Drosophila melanogaster: one gene and its partners. The protein of the gene in region 4 interacts with the protein of the main gene of each other region in a pairwise test. Each region holds a gene or a part of one and is shown on either strand. Other genes may lie near its edges. The genes, in order: Es2, CG31038, eco and koi.

Evidence for each region.
Region 1: the proteins of koi (region 4) and Es2 interact in a two-hybrid assay, tested with the Drosophila melanogaster proteins (one large-scale study listed by BioGRID).
Region 2: the proteins of koi (region 4) and CG31038 interact in a two-hybrid assay, tested with the Drosophila melanogaster proteins (one large-scale study listed by BioGRID).
Region 3: the proteins of koi (region 4) and eco interact in a two-hybrid assay, tested with the Drosophila melanogaster proteins (one large-scale study listed by BioGRID).

What each region holds. Positions count from the first base shown.
Region 1 is NC_004354.4:8,459,820-8,463,882, reverse strand, and holds Es2 (Es2), read right to left. Parts: upstream 2,405-4,063; 5' UTR 2,313-2,404; coding exon 1,961-2,312; intron 1,819-1,960; coding exon 665-1,818; 3' UTR 534-664; downstream 1-533. Other genes in the region: Sptr (sepiapterin reductase), read left to right, coding at 1-362; CG15347 (uncharacterized protein), read left to right, coding at 3,060-3,117.
Region 2 is NT_033777.3:29,875,082-29,880,101, forward strand, and holds the start of CG31038 (uncharacterized protein), read left to right. Parts: upstream 1-1,977; 5' UTR 1,978-2,034; exon of another isoform or gene 2,035-2,845; 5' UTR 2,846-3,290; coding exon 3,291-4,729; intron 4,730-5,020.
Region 3 is NT_037436.4:7,334,899-7,341,097, reverse strand, and holds eco (establishment of cohesion), read left to right. Parts: upstream 1-1,757; 5' UTR 1,758-1,788; exon of another isoform or gene 1,789-1,832; intron 1,833-1,852; 5' UTR 1,853-1,937; intron 1,938-2,056; 5' UTR 2,057-2,206; coding exon 2,207-5,160; intron 5,161-5,222; coding exon 5,223-5,427; 3' UTR 5,428-5,656; downstream 5,657-6,199. Other genes in the region: lark, read right to left, coding at 1-222, 328-1,029. UniProt on the Drosophila melanogaster protein: Acetyltransferase required for the establishment of sister chromatid cohesion and couple the processes of cohesion and DNA replication to ensure that only sister chromatids become paired together.
Region 4 is NT_033778.4:6,809,369-6,817,061, forward strand, and holds the start of koi (klaroid), read left to right. Parts: upstream 1-1,650; 5' UTR 1,651-1,807; intron 1,808-2,419; exon of another isoform or gene 2,420-2,533; 5' UTR 2,534-2,560; coding exon 2,561-2,715; intron 2,716-3,163; exon of another isoform or gene 3,164-3,326; intron 3,327-3,412; coding exon 3,413-3,748; intron 3,749-3,804; coding exon 3,805-4,385; intron 4,386-4,668; coding exon of another isoform or gene 4,669-4,946; exon of another isoform or gene 4,947-5,444; intron 5,445-5,691; coding exon 5,692-7,191; intron 7,192-7,248; coding exon 7,249-7,361; intron 7,362-7,424; coding exon 7,425-7,637; 3' UTR 7,638-7,693. Other genes in the region: CG15237 (uncharacterized protein), read right to left, coding at 56-143, 202-330; ubl (ubiquitin like), read right to left, coding at 724-767, 833-971, 1,031-1,069. UniProt on the Drosophila melanogaster protein: Component of the LINC (LInker of Nucleoskeleton and Cytoskeleton) complex involved in the connection between the nuclear lamina and the cytoskeleton. Is required to nuclear migration in eye and to anchor klar in the nuclear membrane.

The DNA of each region.
Region 1 (4,063 bases), on a different chromosome or scaffold from region 4:
AGGGAATCCCAAAGTTGGTGGTTAATCTCAGCACCTTGGCAGCCATTGCACCTATATCCTCGATGGCACACTATTGCACGGTGAAGGCAGCCCGTGAGATGTACTTCCGAGTGCTGGCCACCGAGGAGTCCGCCGAGGACACCCTGGTGTTGAACTACGCGCCCGGCGTCATAGACACACAGATGACCGTCCAGGTTCAGCGAGAGGCCCACGATCCCGCCGTGGTCGCCATGTTTCGAGAGCAAAGGGAGTCCAAGACCATGCTGACTCCCGCCCAAACGACGGAGCGATTCATCAAAGTCCTGGAAGCATTCAAGTTCAAGTCCGGCGATCATGTGGATTACAGGGATGAGCAGTTCTAGCTAGTTAATCAGTATGTTGCTATCTGTGGTAATGGGGTTTTTCGTATTGAAACATTAAAATGAAACTAAAAATGTGCGCAAGTGTTTTTGCTACAACACCCAATACATCTTAATGAACTTCAAAGCTGATAAGATATGTGTATGATGTTTATGATTTACGCATTCTTAAATCTTCTTTCCAACAACTCGGCATCTATTTATAAGAAATATACAATTCGTAACAACACTGTGGGACTATGTATAGTATTCTCTAATGAAATTAAACATGAATAATGTAGCTGGGTTATGGGTAATGTTATGTACTAAAAGAAATCGGCTGCAGTGCGTCGTTTAGTGGGTATCTTGAGCAGATCGTCCGTGAGCGTGGATCCCGTATCAATGGTAACGTTCTTAGCCGGAGTGCTAATCTTGGCCTGCTGTTTGGGTTTGGGTTCACCCAGTATTGGCGTATTGGTGCTCCTCACCACGCCGGGCGTAACCTTTCGTTTTCTGCCGCTCATCGGCGATGGTGTGTGCCTTAATCGGGGCGTGCCGCGGATACCCAGCTTACCCGTGGCCAGTAGCTGCGCTGCCGGCGACATGCTGGCCAGCCGTTCCATATTGGTGCGTATCAGTGGTGAGCCAATGTTACGACGCGCCGTATCCAGAGCCATTTGTTTTTGATTTCGCATCCTTTCGCTGACCCTTTCGGCCAAAGCGATGGCGATGTTTTCGCGCCGAGAGTTCTCATTAATCCGGAACGAGGGTCCTTGTGTGGGCCGCAATGGGGTATCGCCTCCGTCCAGGCGAAAGGGAGTGCCATCGATCTCACCCCAGGTCATTATGGGCGAGAAAGCCTCTCCGGGTCGCGGTGATGGTGAACGCAACAAATCGAAGCCGCGTACCTTCGGAGTAGCTGTGGCACCACCAGCCCCATTTTGGGGCACTTCATCATTCAGCTTTTTAGTGTCCATTTCGCGATGCTTTGCCTCATCGGGCAGCCTGGTGGCATTGTGTTGGATGCTCTGCTTCCGTTCGGCCAACTGGACGCGCTCCTCCTCTGTGTACTCCACGCCATCGGGCACGTACATAATGGAATTCATGTTGGTGTAGTTCCAGGTTTCGATCTTTCTCAGCGGATCTGGCTCCTCGAATTGCGTTTCTATGCTGGGCAGCATTAGGGCCCGCTGCAGTTGCTCTGCGGAGAGCTTCTCATGGTTGTACAGTACTGCGTATTTTTGGCGCAGCTTGGCCTCGGCCGTTTCGATGATCTCCTGAAAGCTCTGGTTATCCTCGCTGGTGTACTTCTGCAGAAAGGCGTCCAGCGATAGCTTCGCGGTGGTGTCCCTGCCCTCGGCATCGCTCTTCTCGGAGCCGTCCGTGGAAAATGGTGTGTCTGTGGCCCGGGAATTTGGCAATGGGGTGTTGCTACATTTCGCCTGACTCACTGGTGTCTCAAATGTGGCCGGGGACATGGCTGAAATGAAGGAATTCAAAAAGTTAATGGGTCTATCTATTGAACTTGGCCAATGTATAATTTCATCAGACTTGATTTCAAGTAAGATAGTAGCAGACAGCGATGTGCCAGTGGTGTTCATCCAATTGAGTACAATACCCACCATTATTCCGTCGGCTGGTGCTTCTTCCTGTCCCGGAAATCCTGCCCAGACTGTAGCGCTCCCGAATCTCGGCCATTTGTACAAAGTCGCGCCGTGACTCCGCGTCCAGGTAGTCGTTTTGGGCACGCAGCCGCTCCAGATCGGGAAAGAAGTCGCGCTGGATGATCTTAGACATCTCCTCGATGTACTTCTCCTCGGTAAGGATCTTTGGCTTGTTCTTGTGGCGCACCATCGCCGTGGGCTTTTTAAACTCGGCGAGTGCTGAATTCTGGACGCGGGCCACTTCCATGGCCAGGCTGCCGGGAGTGCCAGGTGTCCCCGGTGTGGCAGGTGTTCTAGTCGTGGCGCTCATTGCCGTTTATATCTCGCTTTTTTCGTAAATAACTTTGTTTTGTTTAGATATAAAAAGTGAATATTTTTGTCTGCCAGCAAAGTGTGACCGTTTTAAGTTTCACTCAGAATAACAAAACGTCGGTTCAAAATATTTCCCTGTATTTTTTTTTAATTCTCGGATGTAAAAGGTGAAATTAATCAGCTTAAAAGTTTCGACTTCCTTTACAATAAATTGGTGAGTATGAACCAATTTAAATTTAAATAGAAACAAAATGATATTTTGCTAAACTATATTAATTAAAAACTCTGGCAAGGAGTACTTATCGACGTGTTATCGATAAGTGTGGAACGCATTCAAATGCGCGCTAGCATTTGAATTGAAATTTTAATGCGATTAGCTAGCACTTGAAAATGAAATTTATTACGATTTTGCAAACATTAAAGATATATTTTTAAAACATCTGGAAGTTTCGCAAGTGCGCTGACTAACCCGCTGAACATAATTTATGAAAATGAATGTATGCCAAAGAGCGACAACTTTAGCGTCGTGAATCATTTCAAAACACTTTTTTTTCTCAACTCACCAATAGAATTACTGTTGTCGTGGTGCCTTATCGTAAAGCTGTAGGTATATATGAATAGGGTATAAAGCTCGGCAAAACTCAAATCACTCATTGAACCTTTTCTACTCCCTTAGTTCTGGTTCAGCTCCGTAACCAGTCGCAACATTCGATCGTCGTGAAATTAGTTACATCAGTTATCAGCCATGAAGTTTTACCTGTTGGTGATTGCAGCCCTCTCGTTTTTGGCCTACATCAGTTGTGGTAAATGTTGTACCTGCCTAAATGTTGTTCCAAAATAAGTTTCACTTTTAATTTTCATCGGGATCGTATTTTTTTTTTTTTAATTTTCTTTTTGCTCTTTGAATTGAAAAACTTATTGAGTGTTTTATATAAGGTGTGATAAGCGGTGATATCATGGACACGGAAATAAATTCATGATAAGCTATCAATAGGCGAGTTTCCAAAGAAACTTTTAAAGGTTCTTAGCTTTGTAACTGGGCAAACATATTCTTTTTTTTCTAAGTGTGAGTGAGCCAGCAAAAAGATGTGAAAATTGTACGCCATATATTTAAACCATGTGTACATACAGCTGTGTTCAAAAAAATAGCAGTGCAAGAGAAACTAAGAAATGCGACGGTTTTTTTTTCATGTTTCGGGATCGAATTTTTATTCCACTTATTTTTGTGAATTGGAATGTGTAGATAGGGAAAAAAAGAAAATGTCGTTAGTTTTCTATGCTATCCTTTTTTTTATTTACATTCTTGAGCAAAATCACAACTTTTAGGCTGTTCAACAGAATAGCAGTGTCTGGTTTTGACCAACGTAAACTCCCGAAATGATCAATATTTTCTAAAAAGTGAGTTTGAATTTGAATTTGAATTTGTATATTTAAAAGGGCAATAAATTAAAAAAATAAAAAATAAAGAAACGCAGAAGCAAATCGGCTAAGAATAAGTTCGTTCTAAGTCAAGTTGAATTTTGTTACTATTTTTTCATAGCACTGCTATTTCTGCTTGTTTTAATCTATATTTTCGAAACTATTAAAAAAATGAATGTGAAACATTTGTTGAATTGTTTAAAATTAAATACCTAATGATATTATAAAAAAAATTTTCCCATTAAAACTTGAAATCTTAAGATTTTTTTATTTTAAACTCAAGCACTGCTATTTTTATGAACACAGCTGTATGTCAGCGGTAATTTAATT
Region 2 (5,020 bases), on a different chromosome or scaffold from region 4:
AAGTCTTAACCTAACTAACCTATTATAATTAACTTTTAAATGATATATATTTTGTGTAAAGTAAATATGTGCAACCAGGACGCTAAATGTAACTTTAATTCTACCAACGAAACTTACGTTGGCGGGGGTTTGGTTTTGAAGTGCTTCCGGATTAGAGTACGTCTAAACATTCATTCCTCCAGCCAGGCATGGTATTTAGCAAAGCTTAACCTTCATATTTGGGGCTTCCTGAGGTGCGAGCTGGTTGAAAGTTAAGTAGCTGGCAAAGTAAACAGGCGGTTGTAATTCTATACTGATACTGCAGACATTCGTAAATCTTAGGTATTATAATTCCGGGAAGGGATGACGTATAGATAATTAATGAGGGAGCAAGTGAAATGCAAGACTTGAGTGGAACAGCCTTCGGTTTGAATGGTTTGACTCCCTTTGACTGCCTTTTTGCCGTCCCGCCTGATTTGCATAGTTTGGGGCTGACCGTCTACTCGCTCAATAATGAATGCGTCAGTTTCAAATGGCATTACCCCCGAAAACGAAGTTGATAGTCTGCGACAAGTAGTATGTGCAATGCTATGTGGCACCATAAATAACGTGGCCATTCTAGTGTCGCATTCTGGGTCCTTTTGCTTAGCAATGACAATAGTAAAAGTGCTGAAAGGGAAGCACGATTAGAGCTATTACTTACACTGGCTATGTTTATGTTTTTATATGTACTGTATGCATTCATGGCGCAGCAATTCTGCAAAATTTCTGCATATTTGTTAGGGTGGACCTGAGTTGTACTCATGAGTACTCATACAAATCACTCATACGTAGTGTGGACCTTTTCATTTGATTTTCACAAGGAAAGGCATGTCAGTATCCAAAAGCAATATTAAGTAAAATAAATGTCCTGGTTGGGATCTTACTTTCTCCATAAAAATAAAGTCATGGGATGTTTCCGAAAGAGGAATCGTGTTAGGAATCTATGTTAGCTTGCCTAACAGGTCGTATGAGTAATTTATTAAACGCTTGGCTTTCTTGTTATATCTGATCATTAACTTGTATATAGGCTATGATTCCCCATGAAAGTCCACCCTACGGCACGTACTCCGGTACTTGCACAGGCAATCAATAAAGATTTTTTTTTGGGGAGTTCGGGTGGCGGGTGCTTTGTCGCGATGCGGCAACAACAGCTGTTGCAACGCCAGACGACCCCCCAAAAAAAGGAAAACCGAGCAGCAGCCAGACGCCGGCAACCGGGGAACCTCATCATCGTCATCGTACTCCAGCACCACCCGTTTCAAGAAGCAATCAATGCACTTCTGGCCATGTGCCAAGTTTCTCTTCCGAAAACCTGGAGAGGAGCAGAGAATCGGCCAAAAGAGAGGAGCAGCGGTGTATAAGAGCTGGTTGGGTTCCATTCGGTTGCGGTTGAAAAGCTAAAGTTAATTTAAAGTTCAACCCGTTTGGTTTCTAACTTTTCGGAACTTTAACCGTGTATTTTGGGTTTGGTTTATATAGTTTGGTACAGTAGTAAAAGATACGAAACATTTGCGTTGAAATCAATTTCAAATTGTTGTTTAATTAAGAAGCCAAGTTCCTTATTTACGTAGGTGCTCACAGTGGAATATAAGAAATAATTGTTCCTAAAATAATCCTTTGTACACGAATACAAGAACTTACTCAATAGTTTAAAATGCTTACCTATATTTTTGTAACGAAATATAATTCATTTTACATACAAATAAAAATAAACCGAATTTATTTGCATTCAGCTTGGTAAATAATAGAGTAACTGCGTGACTGCATGCGATGCAAAATTATCTTTGAAGTGCAGACTTTTCGAGTTGTGCCGCGTCACTCGTTTACCCAAGGCACCCACACTGTCGCACTCGCAGACACACACACACACGCATACCAGTGCGGCCGTGTAGCAACAACAATGTTGAGCAAGGTGCGCTGAGCCTCGCTCTTTCGAATCTTTCTCTCCGTTTCGGTTTCAGTTCACTTCTGGCTCTCGTGCAAAGCGCATCGTACAGCGGATATATCGCATCTGTATCGTATCGTAAAACGAATCGTATTCGCATCCGTGTCGGTCGCATCTGCGTGCTAGTGTGTGTGAGTGTGCCCGGGTGTGTGCGAGTTGGTGTGTCCGCTGCAATGGTCTTGGCTATTTGAAGCGCAAAAGTGCAGTATTTACTGTTTGGTGATTCACTCAATCATTAGAATACCCAAGAGATAACTATCATATCTTGGGGTTTTCCCAACGAACCGATCCGATAAAATGGAAACCCTGTAAACTCATGCTCCCCCGCCTTAAAAATCGGTTCAGTGATTTACGTGTGGGTGTGGGTGCAGTGCTTAAATTATACACGTAAAATTTAAACAAATAAAGGCTGTTAAAAAATCGTAAACTCGAGATCCAGCTAGTGCCGAATTCAGTGCTAAAGTGAAACTTCTTTGTGCAAACAACAAAAACCGTTAATTGCCAGCGCCATTCTTTTAAAGGCCCCGACTTATAAAGAGTGTTTTCAGTGCCTATATGGTTTTACTTAAGTCTTTTGTTTATCGTTGTACCCATATTGTTTTCAGTTTATCAATATATAGATAATTATCTAAATGGAGGAGCTTTGTTAATTGATATAACAAGCCTTAAGCGTTAATGTTCCCATCTCATAGGTCCAAGTCAGAAAACCAATCCCCTTTCACTTTAAACAGATCAGAATCCAAGGATTAGGTCGCTTATTCTTTTTCCAAACTAATGAACAATTAAATGGCACGGCGTTGTTGGTCGCAAAGTTTCCATTGCCCGATGCAGAGACCCAAAACCAAAATAAACGGAACCCTTTCACTTTAAAATCCACAGAACCCCAAAGATCGAAAACGAGTTTCGCAAAAGAGCAAAGAGCCGAGCGGCGGCCATGCTTATATTCCATATCGAATAACTGAATAGCCGACCAATAAAGTGTTACTTGGCACATCCAACATCCAACGTTCAACTAGCAATCCAACTTACAATATCCAGCATCCAACTAGCTCCGTTGCATTGGCCTATATTCAAAATAGATCAGAGATCGACTCGAGAGACCGGAGGAGATGTGGATGAGGTGGTGACGAGGAGCTGCGGAGGAGATCGCCATGTGAGAAGAGCAAAACTAGTTTCCCATTTGCGCGCTTATGCTAAGTAATAATAATAAATAAGCGCAGTAGTCTCTGGCTTGCCGTTCGAGAAGTGACCTAAAAATACTGGTTTCGAGTGCGGTTTTGGCGTGAGAACGTGTAGCACAGCGAAGGCACCACCACCACCACCAATGGCCACCACAGCCGCCGGATCAGCAGCCACCACCACCAACACGATGGTGGTGAAGCGGCCAGGACCACCAGTGCCGCCCAGGCCCAAAGCAGCAGCTCAGCTGGCCAATGGAGCAGGAGCCCCTCCGATCATTCAGAAGAAGCCCACCTTCGTGAGCCAGCTGAGTGCAGTGGGTCGTACCTTGGTCTACAAGTCGCCAACGGTCAATCTGCCCAAGAAACAGGCCCAGACCCAGACGCCCACCACGGCGGTGCCAACGCCGCCGGTGAAGCCCCTGAAGCTGCGCAAGGCACCGGATGTGCCCACGGCCAAGCCCAGGGATTCAATGACCTCGGTGGTCACGGTCAACCGGCATAACTCGATAAGCGTGATCGGGAGCACGCCACAGACCACACCCCGCAAGGACACCCGCTTGAGCCTGGGAAAGGTGGACTTCGAGAGGGCGGGCCTCCAGCCGGCCAGTCAGCCACTTCCCAGGCCACGGAAAATTGTTCAAGTGCCCGTGGCCACTCTAGATGTGGAAGACATACCAGTGGTGGCTCCCAGCCCATCATCAAATGGACTCTTCAGGCGATCAAAGACCACCCTGGATGGCAGCCAGAAGGATTCGGCATCCTCCCCGCACAATGGAGGAGGATTCCTGTCCGGACGGACCGTGGAGATCAAGAATAATCTGAAGAACGCCGCCGAGCGTTTGTTCTCGGAGATAATCATCAACCAGAGCCAGAAACAGGCAGCCACCGACACCACCATCATAACCAAGCACGAGGCCCTGAAGCAGGAGTCCGATGTCCTGGCCATCCAGTCATCGGGCAACTGCATGAGGATCAATGTTAACGGCGGCCAGACGAGCACCATGAAGAGCTCGATCAGCGTGGGCAACACGCCGCAAAAGAAGCAAGCCTTCCACGAGATGCTCATCTCGGAGCTGGCTGCCATGCGGAACAAGTCCTGCTCCCTGGAGCAGCTACCCACCGCCAAGTCGCCGCCACCCACCACTTCCACGCCCAAAAGCGTGGCATCTCGCAGGCGCTACAACTCTATAGATGATGCCGACACCGAGGATGTGGATGCGGACAACGTGGAGGATGCCGATGGTGACGTCGACGAGGAGGACACCCTCACCTACGCAGTCAATAAATCGCTGAAGGAGAACATTGGCAAGGAGGGCTCGTCCTCGAGGAAGCGCTGCCCCTCGGGCTGCTCCACAGACTCCTCGCCCTACGGAACCGAGCGATCCCAGCGCATCCGCACCTCGGATTGGATCGAGGTGGGCGACAACGGCACGGCAGTTACTCTGACTAGCTGCCACATCAGCCTGGAGGACTCGGGCATGGAGGACGAGGAGCGGCTGGACGACATGTCCTCGGGAGTGGGCGACAGCTGGGACAGCGTCAAGGAGGCCGAGAGCGAGAAGCGTTCTCGCAACGGAAAGCGGTGAGTCTCGAAACTATTACTATAATTAAAATTATATCTAGTAAGTGCATCTAATGAGATTCGTTGATAATGAAGGAACAGATAGTTTTAGCATCCATAAATGAAGCTATAACATTATTTATTGCTATTGCCGTTCATTAAACGTTAATGAGTATGGAAATTAGCTGTTTGCCGAGGGAAAACAAAATCTTGACCATCAATTGAAGATCTTTAAAAACGGCCCCATACGTTGGAGGTCGTAATAGTTTCGAGCTGAGCCCGATCATCCAAGATCGCCCATTGCTACCGCAA
Region 3 (6,199 bases), on a different chromosome or scaffold from region 4:
ATTGCTGCTACGCGGCGGCGGAGGCGAGCGCCGGCTGAACATAGTGTCGTATCCACGAGAAACGCTGCAGGAGCGCAGGCTGCCGCTTAAGGTGGGCGGTAGAGGCATGGGTTCGCGGCGAGAGATGGGCGGCGGTGGGAAGTCGCGCATTCGCGAGGTCTGATAGCGACGCTCATACAGATCGCGTGAGTCCTCGAAGCGGCGGTCATAGTAGTCATAGTCCTGCGGGCGGGAAAACAAGATTTAGATTAGTAGCAGCACAGAATGTGAATAATACTTGGCACAATGGATGATTTGATCGGGGGGGCAAATGGATGCTGAATTTACCCTAAAGCCATCCATGATGCGGTCACGCAGGAACGGCGGCGGCGGTGGTGGCGGCGGATACGGGTCACGACCGTACATGCGATCTCTGTAGCCGCCGGCGCTGAGGGGCGATGGCGGCTCGCGTCCGCCTCCGGCACTGCCGTACAGTCGCGGACACTCTTTCGACCAATGCCCGGATCTTCCGCACCGATAGCACTGCTCCGGATCGCCCATGCCCGGCTTGGGGCGGACCCGACTGGTCGACACTTGAACCTTGAGCGGCTGGCCATCGACAACGCGACCGTTCAGCTCCTTAATGGCGTCCTGCACATCACCGACACAGTCCAGATGGACAAAACCATAGTTGCGCACAATGTCGCATTCGACGACGGTGCCGTATTTCTGAAACAGTTCCCGCACCTCCGGCGCCCGCGTCTTGTCCGTTAGATTTCCCACGAAGATTTTCGTGGTCGGCGTATTGGGCGCCCGCCGGCTCTTGGCCGCCTCCACCTTGATGGCGAACTCGTTCAGCGTATAACCGTTCAGATTCTGTATGGCATCGCGACCCTGCTGCTCCGTCTCCATGTGAACGAAGCCATAGTTCTTCACCACGTCGCACTCGACGACGGTACCGTACTTCTCGAACAGTGCACGCAGCTCGGTGGCCTGTGTCTTCTCGTCAAGATTCCCGATGAATAACTTGAACGTGCCGGCTCCGGGCATGGCGGCAGCGGGTTCCGCTGCGTGGTCGTCCACGGTTATATCGTTTATATCACTCTGGGTGGGGTAATCCCGGAAAATGGATATCTACGCGGCGGCGGCGGCGGCGGCTGCGTCGAAAATATATTTATATATATTTGCCTATATGTTTGTATGTATATACCGCGGTTGGAGGACGACAACGGCGACGAACAAACGCGATACCTCAAGAGAAGAGAGAAGACAGTGCAATTGTTTTCTATTTTAACCAATACGAGCAAAGGATAAACATTAAGGCAGCAGCACAAGGAGCGCGAGTAATCTTAATAAACTCGGTTTTAAATCGCATTATTGGCGTTGTGGCCTAACGCATACATAAAAAAAGATGGCGGCGGCTAGAGTTCACATTTTCTCACGGTTCTCGTTGGCGTGGCTTTCAAATGGCGGTACGGATAATGTGGGGGAGCTAACTTACCTGATCGGCAGCGGGCTTTGGCTGCAAATTAAATTATAAACGCAGAGCTTTATACTTTCTACTTTCCAGGCCGAGCAGCAGATTTTTCCAAATCGATTCGCACTTCGTCCGCAATATGACCGTGTGACGTCTGGAAGAGTGTGACTGAGTCTGACTTGGGTGGAAATACCAGATAGAGTTTTCCCGTTATATGATCACCTTAGCTCTGTAAAAATACCGGATAGTTAAAATAATACGGAAATCTTTAAAATATATGAAGATTAGAAAACATAGAATGTCTAGCGATCATGATCGTAACTCGTTAAGTGGTACTATATTGAATACTTTGTCTTGGATCAAGAATATAATTAACATTACTTATTTATTTTACAGAAATCGTAGAATAAGTCCAAATAATTTACGAAAAACTGCAAGCTGACTTGATCGCTTCGAAGAAAAATGTTAAATGTAAAATGTGGTAAAAAAATTATAACTAACAGAAAATATTTACATTGCAATGTATTTGATTTTTATAAACATTGATGTAAAAAAAATTTAAAAACAATGTAATGCATTTAATATATATAAACATTGCAGTAAAAACATAGACGATCTGGCATGTGTTGGCAAACGACCGAAGAGACCCTGAACGATCCAACCACCCCCAACACTAGGCAGCTACAAAAAAGCGCGAAGGAGTCACAATTTGGACAAAGTTAATGCGAAATAAAAGATTTGCGCGCGATCATGGAGACCCCGACGGGTAGTGGGCGTCCCAGTCGCATGGCCACTCCGCGCCTTTCGGAGCGCAAGCGGCAACTGTTTGGCAGTCCCAGATCCAGGCTGCGCCAAATCAACGACGACGAGGATGATGCGGACGTAGACAGTCTGGGTGTCTTGCCATTAAAGACCCATGTGGCGGCCAACAGGAAGGGCAGGAGTCTCTTCGCCGCAGTCCCCGGCAAGTCAAGCAGCAGTGCGAACAGCAGCCCGGAAACCAACAAGGAGAACAAAAAAACCCGTGGCGGAGTCATGACTGCCACGGCGGAGCAGCTGCCCCAATTGTTTACAGCCACCATGCGGCTAAATAGCAACAGCAGCAGCAATAGTCGCAACAGCAGCCCCCGTCAGACGAGGGTCCAAAGAAAGCGAGCGGATTCTTCAATGTCGTCGCCCACCTCTTCCTCTGAAGGAACTCCTTCTTCCAGAGCCAGAAATAGCATCAGACGCAGTCCACGAACCTTCAGTGCGCAAAAGGATCCAGATGCGTTCTCCTCGCCAGAATCTTTTCAGACTAGGCTAAGCAAGGTGGCAGCTATGCTAATGAAGGGTCAGGATTCAAGATCAATGTTAGAAAAATCAAAGAAGAAACACAACCACAGCCTAAAGACCACTGCCCAAGTGCATACAACTAAACCGAAGAAAACGAGCCCAGCTGAAGAGTCCCAGTCGGACGACGAGAAACCTTCTAGCAGTAAGAACTCCAGGAAGAATACAGAAGTTCGTGAAACAAGGAGCTCGCAAATCATCAGTCCAAAAACCAGGAATAGGCGAAGACCCTTCACGTCGGCGGATATAAACTGCAAGACGCTGAAGGCTGCTGCCCATCTACATGAGAACATGAGGTCGTATGATGAAGAAAAAACAGCAGCAGTTAAGCTAGAAAACAGCAGAAGCAGATCCAAGTCCCCGGTAGAAGTGTTCAAGTCAAATGACGATGCAGTAAAACGAAACACAGGAAACACCAACAATAAAACAGCGAAATCTTCCGAAGTTGCCACAGCAAAAAGGCCAGAAAGCCCAGGAAGTAGTATGAAGATTGATGTCGAAGTGCCCGAATCGGACGAAGAAGCATCCAATCATAAGCCTCAAAAGCGACAGCACCCAGAAACGTCCACCCCGGTTGCTCCTTCAGCGGACGCCGACTCTGGTTCGCCGCAGAGCAAGATGCGCAAGGTGACGCTGAGCAGCAGCATTCCCACCATGGCCTTCTATTCCCACAGTGGAGAAGCGGTCACAAAGTCAAGAAGGCGGCCGTCCATATCCAAGAATTCGCTTAAACAACCAACGAAAATCTCGCCAACCTCCCGTCCACTATTGGGCATTAATAAGGGAGTTCACCACAAAATACGCAAGCGTCACGGTTTTGCCAACCGACTGCCAGCCACCGATATGGACAACATTCTCAACTCGCTGAGCAACGAACGGCTCAAGAACCTGATCACCACCAAGCGTGAAGAGCGCGCCAAAGTGGAGGAAGTCCACCAGATTCTCCGTAATGCCAAGGACCCGATCAAAATGGCCAAACCATTGAGTGTGATTGAAGCCGACGATGCTAACAACAATAACAATCTGCCAGCAACCGCATGGCAAGAAACTTCCGCCGATTTCTCCGATCTTAGTGATGTCGAAGACATTGATCCCATCATCGAGGTGGAGCCTATCATACCAATAATTCGCCACGAGCCGGTCCAGAAATCCCCAACCGCCGAGCCAGCCGATCTAAGCAAACGAAAGTTCTTCAAATCGGGCCGCCGTAGTAGCACCTGCATGGAGGTGAGAATCACGGACAACATCCGGGCCAGCGTCAGCCAGGGCAAGATTGAACTCGTCCAAACGATACGCCGTAAGCCGCGGCAAGTGCGCGTCAAGTCGGCCACGATATTTTCCGCCGAGCAGGCGACTGTGGATGCGATCCTAAAGAATCTGGACGATACGGTGGTTGATGAGATTGTAGAAGCGAATCCGGTGGTACAGGCAACGCCCATTGATGCGGAGGAGACGACCATGGAAACGGAGTCGCTACCGGATATAATTGAGTATGCCCCAGAGGCGAACGATGTGGAAATTGATCCCTTTGCTGAGTTCCGTCAACGTTTGCCATACCAAACCGATGATCCCAATGTCGTGGAGCAACAGCAAATTTTACTAGAGTTTCTCATTAGCAACAATATTTGCACCGAAAAGAACTTTGAGATATTTATTGCAAATCCGGATGACTACAAGGACGAGGCCAATCAAATTGTGGACAATTTATACATGGTGGTGAACAGCGAGGAGGCTGCGCAGCTTGCTCAGATGGAAACAGTGGAAAATACAGCGGTGGCCATTGCACCAAAACAGGATGCGCCAGCAGTAGAGGAAGTTCAGCCAAAGCTTTTCCCCATATTCACTCAACGCTTACAGCCCGTTGTCCAGAAATCGTTGCGGCGTCGGCCGGATACATCGATGAGATTGCTAACGGCGGCGGGTGGATCGAATCAGTACCAGATCGATGCTGGTCAAAAGGCCTTCGGAGCACGGCAGTGCCAGCAGTGCGGATTGGTGTACACCGTGCACGAGCCGGAGGAGGAGCTGCTTCATCGCGAGTACCACAATTCCATCCATGTGCTGCGCTTCAAGGGCTGGATCGACGAGGACATTGTGTCCGTTTATCCAGAATGGGCCAGCGACGGGCGCATCATACGGATCAACGAACGCGCTCCGACAGCTCGGCTCGACAGACTGCGGGATCTCATTGGTGTGGTGGACAAAGAGCTGGGCTATTCCTCGTACATTGTGCCAAAGATCTTTGTAGCCTTCATAGCAGTGCGCAAGCAGCAGATCGTAGGCTTCTGCCTGGTGCAGCCCCTCTCGCAGGCCCATCGTTTCATCCAGGTCGATGGCACGGACTACTTCAGCGAGGAAAGCTACCCGGCCAGGTAAGACATCCCCTACTGCATGCCCCTTCCCTTGTCAACGGCTAAAATGTGCCTTCTTTCAGCTGCGGCGTCTCACGCATCTGGGTTTCTCCGCTGCAGCGACGCAGCGGGATCGCCAGCAAGCTGCTGCGAGTCGTCCAGTGCCACACGGTGCTCGGTCAAGAGATCGCTAGGGAGTGCATTGCCTTCAGTACGCCCACCGACGATGGTCGGGCTCTGGCACGCCAGTTCACCGGGTTGGATAACTTCCTCACCTACGACCAGTGATCGGGGAAATCTATTGAAGCTATTGAATAGCTGGATTGTTTTTGAGTTAGGATTGCTTCGAAACCTGTAATAGTTGATAAGCAAGTGCGATTATGTTACTAGCGGCACGAAGACGCGCAATTTAACATGTTTACAATGGTGGTTTAATATGCCTGTTTTTACGCAATGAACACGATATTTTCTTCGAGTCGCATTAATTTTGAAAATATAGATTAATATTGTTTATCTTACGTGTCGGGTTTTAAAACATGTAAATTTGGTGTTACAAAAATAGCACATACGTTAATTTTTAAATTGTATGTTTATAAACATTGTTTAATATATTTAAATTCTAACAAATAACTTAATGTCTAAATGTATGCAGTAAAAAATTTACACAACCTGCACTTGCGATCGATGAATGGTTATCGATCGCTTGCAACCATGCGGCGAGTCCACAAAGTGCCATCACTAGCACACTGAGCCTGGCTTTTGGGCGTTGTTTTCGTAGCAGCAAAGTGGCTGAAATTAATAACATTTAAGAGCAGAAGTGTGTAACACACCTGAATGGGACTTGTGCCAATCTCAGTGACCACCAATCGCGCGCAAATGGTAAGTGCAATCCGCATATAAGCTGCTAAGTGGGGAGCTGCTGGTGCTGCTAGTTAGTTTACTTTGGTGACGCCACGCCCAATGTGACAAATTGGAATCGGTGGCAATTGGTTTCGGGGTGCAAGTGGCATGCAGCGTGGTGGTTGAACCGCTTTCTCACTCTTCTTCCCCTGCCCTCCAG
Region 4 (7,693 bases):
AATTGGACGTAAAAACGATAATGGTAATCCGAATGCAGTGTCCTGCCGTACTCACCATCCTCGTCGTCGGTCTCAATTCCGGGTATGGTGAGCATTTTGCCCAGCGGCTGCAGATCTGTGCCGGCCGTCTTAAGGGACTCTCGCTGTACGGTTTAAGTTTATAACAATTTATACAGAAAGCGGTGTCTGGAGAGAACTCACCCAGTTGCTCCTTTCATCCTCATAACGCCGCGTCTGCGATTCTTCGTTTACGGAGGCAGGAGCCATGTCCAACCAGTAGCGATTGGCCACGGAGACTTTGAGCGTGGGAAAGAATGGAATCATTGACATTTTCGACGGAATCTTGAATGCGCTGTTTTCAATATTTGTTGTTCTTTCTCTGGAAGCCTTTGATGCGATCTGGCAACGCCGCAACATACGCTGTAAATAATACCAATTTTACAGGGGCGTAGTCGTAGGGGCGCATTAAACGCAAATTACAATATTAATTGTAATTGTAATTCATCAATCTAACTATGTATTTTGTTATTGTCAAGGGAAGTCCGATAACCAAGGGCTTAATACAGCTTACTCAAAAATATATATCTTCACTATTACAAATTGACCTTAAGAATCAGAACATAACCAAAACGAATAATATATATTATTCAAAATCTTTTTATTTATTAAAGAAGCTATAAAAATTGGACAAACTAGACACAGGAACGGTATTCCCTTGCAGTTTTATTGGTAGTAAAGTTCCAGATTCATGCCATCGTGAATTTCATCTAAGAAAGCGAAAAAGAAATGCGGGTAAAGCAAGGCGTTACAAGGACACTAAACAAGGGCTTACAGTCAGATAGGCGAATCGGGTCCTTGAAGATTGTGTACCACTTCTTCAGGACAATCTTCTCGTGCTTTGTGCCCGTTTGTGCCGCGATTAGTTTCTTGAGGTCCCCAATCGTGTCGTCCGGGTTGCACTTGACGCGCACCTGTGGGTTAATCGTTGGTTAACGATGCTTGCAGTTGCCTTGGGTACTTAGCTGCTTACCTTCTTGCCAAGACGATCGTTACACGTTATTTCTATCATATTTTATGGCTTTGCTAGACAAATCACAACAATAAATTCTTGATTTGTTGTGGTATTATTGCTTAGGGTTGTCAAATACCCTTTACCGAATACCGAGTGGTTTGAGGGATCGCTAATTGTCCGCAATGCTATCGATATTTTATTTAATTTTAAATATGTTTAAATAACAATCATATAGAAAGTCGAAGTTAAAGATATCAGAAGTCTGAAAGTATACTTAGAAAGCTCAATTGCTTGTCATGACGCAAATCTATCACATCCTTGTAAAACGATAATATTTGTTAACAAATTTATATTTAAATTTCAGTCTTCTTCTTAGTTATCAAGCCAGAAGTCGAATGTTTCGGCGTTAATAGAAAAATAATGTATGTTTGCATATTTGCACACCTCATTCAAATTATTTTTCTTTGTTGAACAAAAGATAAAAGTGTAAAAATTAAATTTTTTATTCTTGACCCATTATTTCTCTTGGTTAATGAAAACAAATTCCGTTTCTCAACGTTCCCTTTAATAATCCATGTGAACAATCGATAGGCGGCGAAACATCGATGATTGCTAGAATAATCGATGTGTCTTCCCCGTTCATTCGAATTTTTTCGCCGCTCGGAATAGACGTGATTTTGCCGTCGTGACGGTGGAGGCTATTTTTAAAACGGTCGCGGCGCTTGCAAACAAAATTCATATCCAGCTATTCAACGGAGGAATTCATTAGTACGGCAGTACAAGAAATATTACTAAGTATGTCACATATTTGCGGGCAAACTGCCGAAAGCACTGTGCGGAGTTTTTGTTTGTGTGCGTGCGTGCCTCATTTTTACATTCACGTACATACATATGTACATATATGTACGCTATGACGCAGCTGTGGAAAACTTGTTTGGGTTTCCATTTCACCGAATCACGGAATCAACGAATATTTGCGCCTGTGCTGCGAACTCATTTTGGGCAGTAAGCCATTGTATTGATTATCGCGCGTTGTTTGTGGATGGCGTGGTCCGCCGGAGCACCCTGTAGCGTCTACATCCCTACCCCGCTCCCTGGAGTCCGATATCTGTGCGCGAAAGGCCGGGCGGGCGTCGTTTTCGGCTATGTGGCCCAACACCAATGGATCCCCACGGTCACTGGCAGCAATTCGCGATCCGAAATGCTCCGCCCTATTTTTAGACGCGGTCTTTGCGGCCTGCCTACTTACCTACCTCCCCAATGCATTCTAATTAAAAACCGGGCACTGCGCTCATTTCCACACGCATTGCATTGCATAATGCGGCATTAATGTGGCGGGGAAAGCTCGCTTCGGAAAGCACTCGAGCATTGAAGTGAAGAGACCGAATGTTTTCCAGCTGCCCAATTGTAAACAACCCACGCCTAGCACGCACACACACGCACACGCACACACACACAGACTGGTTTTAATGTTTACTCCAAATAAATCGTTGCCCATGTTAATTATTTGTGTCTTCGCAGGGCCCGAGCACTGGAGGGAATCTAATCATGAGCGAAAATACATACCAGATAGAAACGCGTCGGCGGTCGCGTTCCAAGACCCCCTTCCTGAGATCGAGCTGCGACCATGAGAACTGTGAGCACGCCGGAGAGGAGGGGCATGTGCACCACCTCAAAAGGAAATCGGCGGCCCCCAATGTGCAGTAAGTATCTGGGATACTCCCGAAATAGGCCTACGGACGAAGCCCTTTATCGCGAACCCATAACATTATTTTTAGCCCTTATAAGTAGTAAAATTGTAAGCATACAATATGTTTACGGAGTTCGAGTCAATTTCATTTTGAGAATTAGGAGAATTCAGTTTAAACTCTATAATTATTTCCTATTTGGTCCTGAGTCACCTTTTTCTATACTGACCATTGGTTTCAGTAAGCAAGTTGGACTGTAGTAAGACACATCCATAGCGACTGTATGTTTGTATGCCGTGTGCTGCCGCCATGACGTCACCTTTTTGTTATTCACGCTCGCCGCGAATTTGAATTTCGAAGCGGGTAGAAAACGAAGGCAAAGCCGCATACAGGGTGCAGCATCTGGTCGAGCTTCGTTAGTTTTTGGCGCCTATTTCGAGAGCGCCTGGTCGGTCTGATGATCAGTCTTCAAGACTCGATGACGACATTCGGAGTCCAACGTCGGCCGTCAGAAATCGTTTTCACGTTTTAGCCTCTAAATCGAGCATGCTGGGGTGGGCTAACAGTCGTTTGCGCTGAAGGCCAGCGGCGGTTATAAGCATATTTTTGTGTTTTTGTTTTGATACGTTGTACTCGTCGTTTCAAACGATTCCGAGCACGTTATCACGGACTTACTGAAATATTTTTCCCAAATCTTACCTCTTCTCTGCAGAACGATAATAGAGGAGCATATAGTGGAGTCGAGTATCAGTAAGAAAACCCGGGCAAAAGCGTTCGCCCAGCTGACCTCGGACTATTCGAGCGACGACATGACTCCGGATGCCAAACGCAAACAGAACTCGATCACGGCCACAGTCACGTCGATTCTCACCAAGCGATCCGGCGGCGCCACATCGACACCGCGGAACAGAAGCCAGCTGGAGACCACACAAAACACGCTGAATTCCGCCCAGGAAAAGCTAAACCAATCGAACGGTAACCTCAGCTCGGGAAATGTCAGCGATTATCTGGCCTACATCGAGTACAGGGATGCTGGTGAATACTGGAAGTGAGTGAATCATTTCTACACATTTTAAACAGTATACTAATGATGCTATTTTGCAGCAAAACTCCCAAGACGGACTATACCTACTCAGAACTGTCCCCTCACCGACGCCAGTTGGCGCCAGGAATTGTGGCCATGCCCAATATGTCCAGAAAGAGCCTAGAGAACCATAACGATCGAGTCAACTACATGGTCCAGCAGAACCCTGCGCAAGAGGAGTTCATCCGCCGCCGCTACCAGTCCAAGTATACCCAGCAGGTTAACTATGACTCCGCAGATGAACTGGACGCCACATTTGGGCAGCAAAAGCAGAGCTGGTGGCTTATCCGCCTCATCCAACTGGTTGTTAGCAGCATTACCACCGTGTGGAGTCGGGTGACCAATCTCTCGGCCACGGAGACGACTGCCTATCAAAACTACCACGCTAAGCGCCAGCAGAGTCAACAAGTTGGACTTTGGTGGAAAATAGTACAGACCATCGGAGGAGGACTTGCAAGTTTGCTGCGCTACCTGTATGTTTTCATCGGATCGGTGCTGAGTTTGGACACGTGGTTGCTGCGATCCTCGGATGCGGAAAACAAGTCGAAAAAGCGCTTCCTCATATTTCTGCTGATTTTGTTGCCCTTGCTGCTGCTGTCGGGTGAGTAGGATTTAAAGCACCGTCCGATTTTTGATGTAAAGTAAAATATGTTAGAGCGTGTGCCGTGACCTTGTACCGGTTCGAGAATTCATACTACATGCATATAGATCACCTCCAGTCGTTGTATTTATAAACTCGTCTGGTCGTTGGCAGTCGCGTGACGCCATCGATAATTTGTTAGTAAAATCCCGCGGATCAGATTTAAGTGGCCATGTGATGACATATTTTATTTTCCATTCACCGTCTGCCAAGGTTAAACGCCTAATTTGCTTTGCCTTTGCAGGTCTGTTCTATTACATACACCCCAATGAAACTTTCCCACCCAAATCCCTGTCCGAATACACATTCACCCTACCTGAGTTGCCCAAAATCGATGTGAAAGACTACCTGAACCAGGAGCAGTTCGAATCGCTACGCTCTCAGGCCGCCGAGCATGCGGTCCGCGTTCGCGATTGGGCCGACGACTACGTTTTGTACTTGAGAACCATCGGTCAGAACGTGGTCAACAAGGGTCGTCAGTTATTTCAGGGCGATGATAAAGTCTATTATGAGCGTGTGTAGGGAACATCTGCAATGGGCAGGCTACAGCTACCAGATTTAGTGATCTGGTTGGGTGCAACGCCCCTTGCACTTAGACAAATATGAGAAACTTTCTTTATGAACAATATGAGTACAAAATAAAGCATTTGATCCGTTTTTTGTCCGTCTGCTTGACCCGCAGTTTTGCGCACTTACTTTATAGTTTTTCGTCCCGTCATTTACCCACTTCATAGGCAAACCCACCTCTCATACCCCACCATACTAACCGACACAATTCCCAACAAAATGCAACATCACAGGCTGATGGGAGAAGGATAGAGCTCGCCGCTGTTCAAATTGTAAAACTTTCGTAATCGTTAACTTCATTCTTGTCCAACAATTAGGGCCGTTATCCGTCTGGGTTAGTGCCCTAACTAAATCTTACTTGTTGTTAAACAACGTTTAATTGTAATTTGTGCACTGTTTGCTTTGTAATAGTCTATACAAAAATAAATCGCAAACAATTTCATATGAAACATCAAGTACAAAGAAGAGTTGTTTGTTTTATTTGCCATTTGTTGGAAGTTCGCTAAATGGTAAGTAAGATGTAAACAAAGCAATATTAGTTGGCCAGAATCGAACTCTATCCTTCTGCATTTGTGTTGGAATAACCCCAAAAACGAGTTCCCTGTTACCTCAGTCCGGTTGATAATTGAAGTTGGTAGGGACTGTAAATGTAGAAGGATTGCCAACTAATAGTGCTATGTTTAATTTTCTCCTTCCCCAGGATGGTTGCTCTTGCAGGAGGATCAACGTAGTGCTTACGTTCAGCGTGCGGAAGCACTGTTGCCGCTGCCACTATCTATTTTCGGCTCCCTACGTAGTCGATTTTCAAATGCTGGAGCCACCTTGAAAAGTTGGATGGAAGTGCCCACCGTCAGGAGTCCCCAGCGGGAAGCCGAGGCCATTAAGGTAAACATGGCCAGCATTGAACAGAACATCCAGAAAGCCTTGACTGCCGAGGAATACGAAAATATCTTAAACCATGTAAACAGCTACGTGCAGCAGTTGGTCGAGCTGAAAATGCAGCAGCATTCCAAGGAGCTCGCACCGCAACAGATTGAACTCTTTGTTAAGCTGATGAAGGAAAACCTCAAGCAGATTATGTACAAAACGGAGCTAAGCGAAAAGGATTTGTCTGATCTGGCCATAAAACTGAAACTGGAGCTGCAAAGCTCAGGCGGTTGGCAAGATGGAGCGAAACTATCACAAGCTAACTTAGAGGAGATAACCAAGCTAATTAAAGCAGAGGTTCACCTCCACGAATCGCACTACACCATTCAATTGGACAGGATAGACTTTGCATCCCTGCTGGAGCGTATTCTTGCTGCGCCAGCATTGGCAGACTTTGTAGATGCTCGAATAAGTCTTCGGGTGGGAGAGCTCGAGCCAAAGGAGAGTTCCGGTTCCTCAGATGCAGAAGTCCAAATTGAGCGTCTGAACAGGGAAATCGCCTTCATTAAGTTGGCTCTCTCTGACAAGCAAGCGGAGAACGCCGATCTGCACCAATCAATCAGCAATCTGAAGCTCGGCCAAGAGGATTTGCTGGAACGCATACAGCAGCACGAACTTTCCCAGGATAGGCGCTTCCACGGGTTGCTGGCTGAAATAGAAAACAAACTGTCTGCGCTTAACGACTCGCAGTTTGCTCTTCTCAACAAGCAGATCAAGCTATCCCTTGTCGAAATTCTGGGCTTTAAGCAATCCACCGCTGGCGGTTCCGCTGGCCAATTGGATGACTTCGATCTGCAGACCTGGGTACGCAGCATGTTTGTGGCCAAGGACTACCTGGAGCAGCAGCTGCTAGAGCTGAACAAGCGCACCAATAACAACATTCGCGACGAGATTGAGCGTTCGAGCATCCTGCTGATGAGCGACATTAGCCAACGACTCAAACGGGAGATTCTTCTGGTTGTGGAGGCCAAGCATAACGAGAGCACCAAAGCGTTGAAGGGCCATATCCGCGAAGAGGAGGTGCGCCAGATAGTCAAGACGGTGCTAGCTATTTACGATGCCGACAAGACGGGCCTGGTGGACTTCGCCCTGGAGTCGGCGGGCGGCCAAATCCTTTCCACGCGTTGCACTGAGAGCTACCAGACAAAGTCAGCCCAGATATCGGTGTTTGGAATTCCACTCTGGTATCCCACCAACACGCCGCGGGTCGCCATTTCACCCAATGTGCAGCCAGGGGAATGCTGGGCATTCCAAGGGTTTCCCGGATTTCTAGGCAAGTCGCGGGTAAATAGTAATTGCTAAAACAGTCCTTATAGTTTTCTTCCCACAGTGCTAAAGCTCAACTCGTTGGTGTACGTCACTGGATTCACCCTAGAGCACATACCGAAGAGTCTATCCCCCACAGGAAGAATAGAATCAGCTCCTCGCAACTTCACTGTCTGGGTAAGTTTGACTAAGGGTGAAAGGAAGTGGTGCATTTCTAATACGACTTATCCATCAACTCAGGGCTTGGAGCAGGAGAAGGACCAGGAACCCGTATTGTTCGGCGATTACCAGTTTGAGGACAATGGTGCTTCCCTCCAGTACTTTGCCGTTCAAAACCTGGACATCAAACGGCCGTACGAGATCGTCGAACTGCGGATCGAGACGAACCATGGCCATCCCACCTATACATGCCTCTACCGGTTTCGCGTGCACGGCAAGCCGCCGGCCACATAAATCTGTTCAAATCTCTTCTAGTGACCTAAGTACTGCCAGGTGTACATAATGTCTGT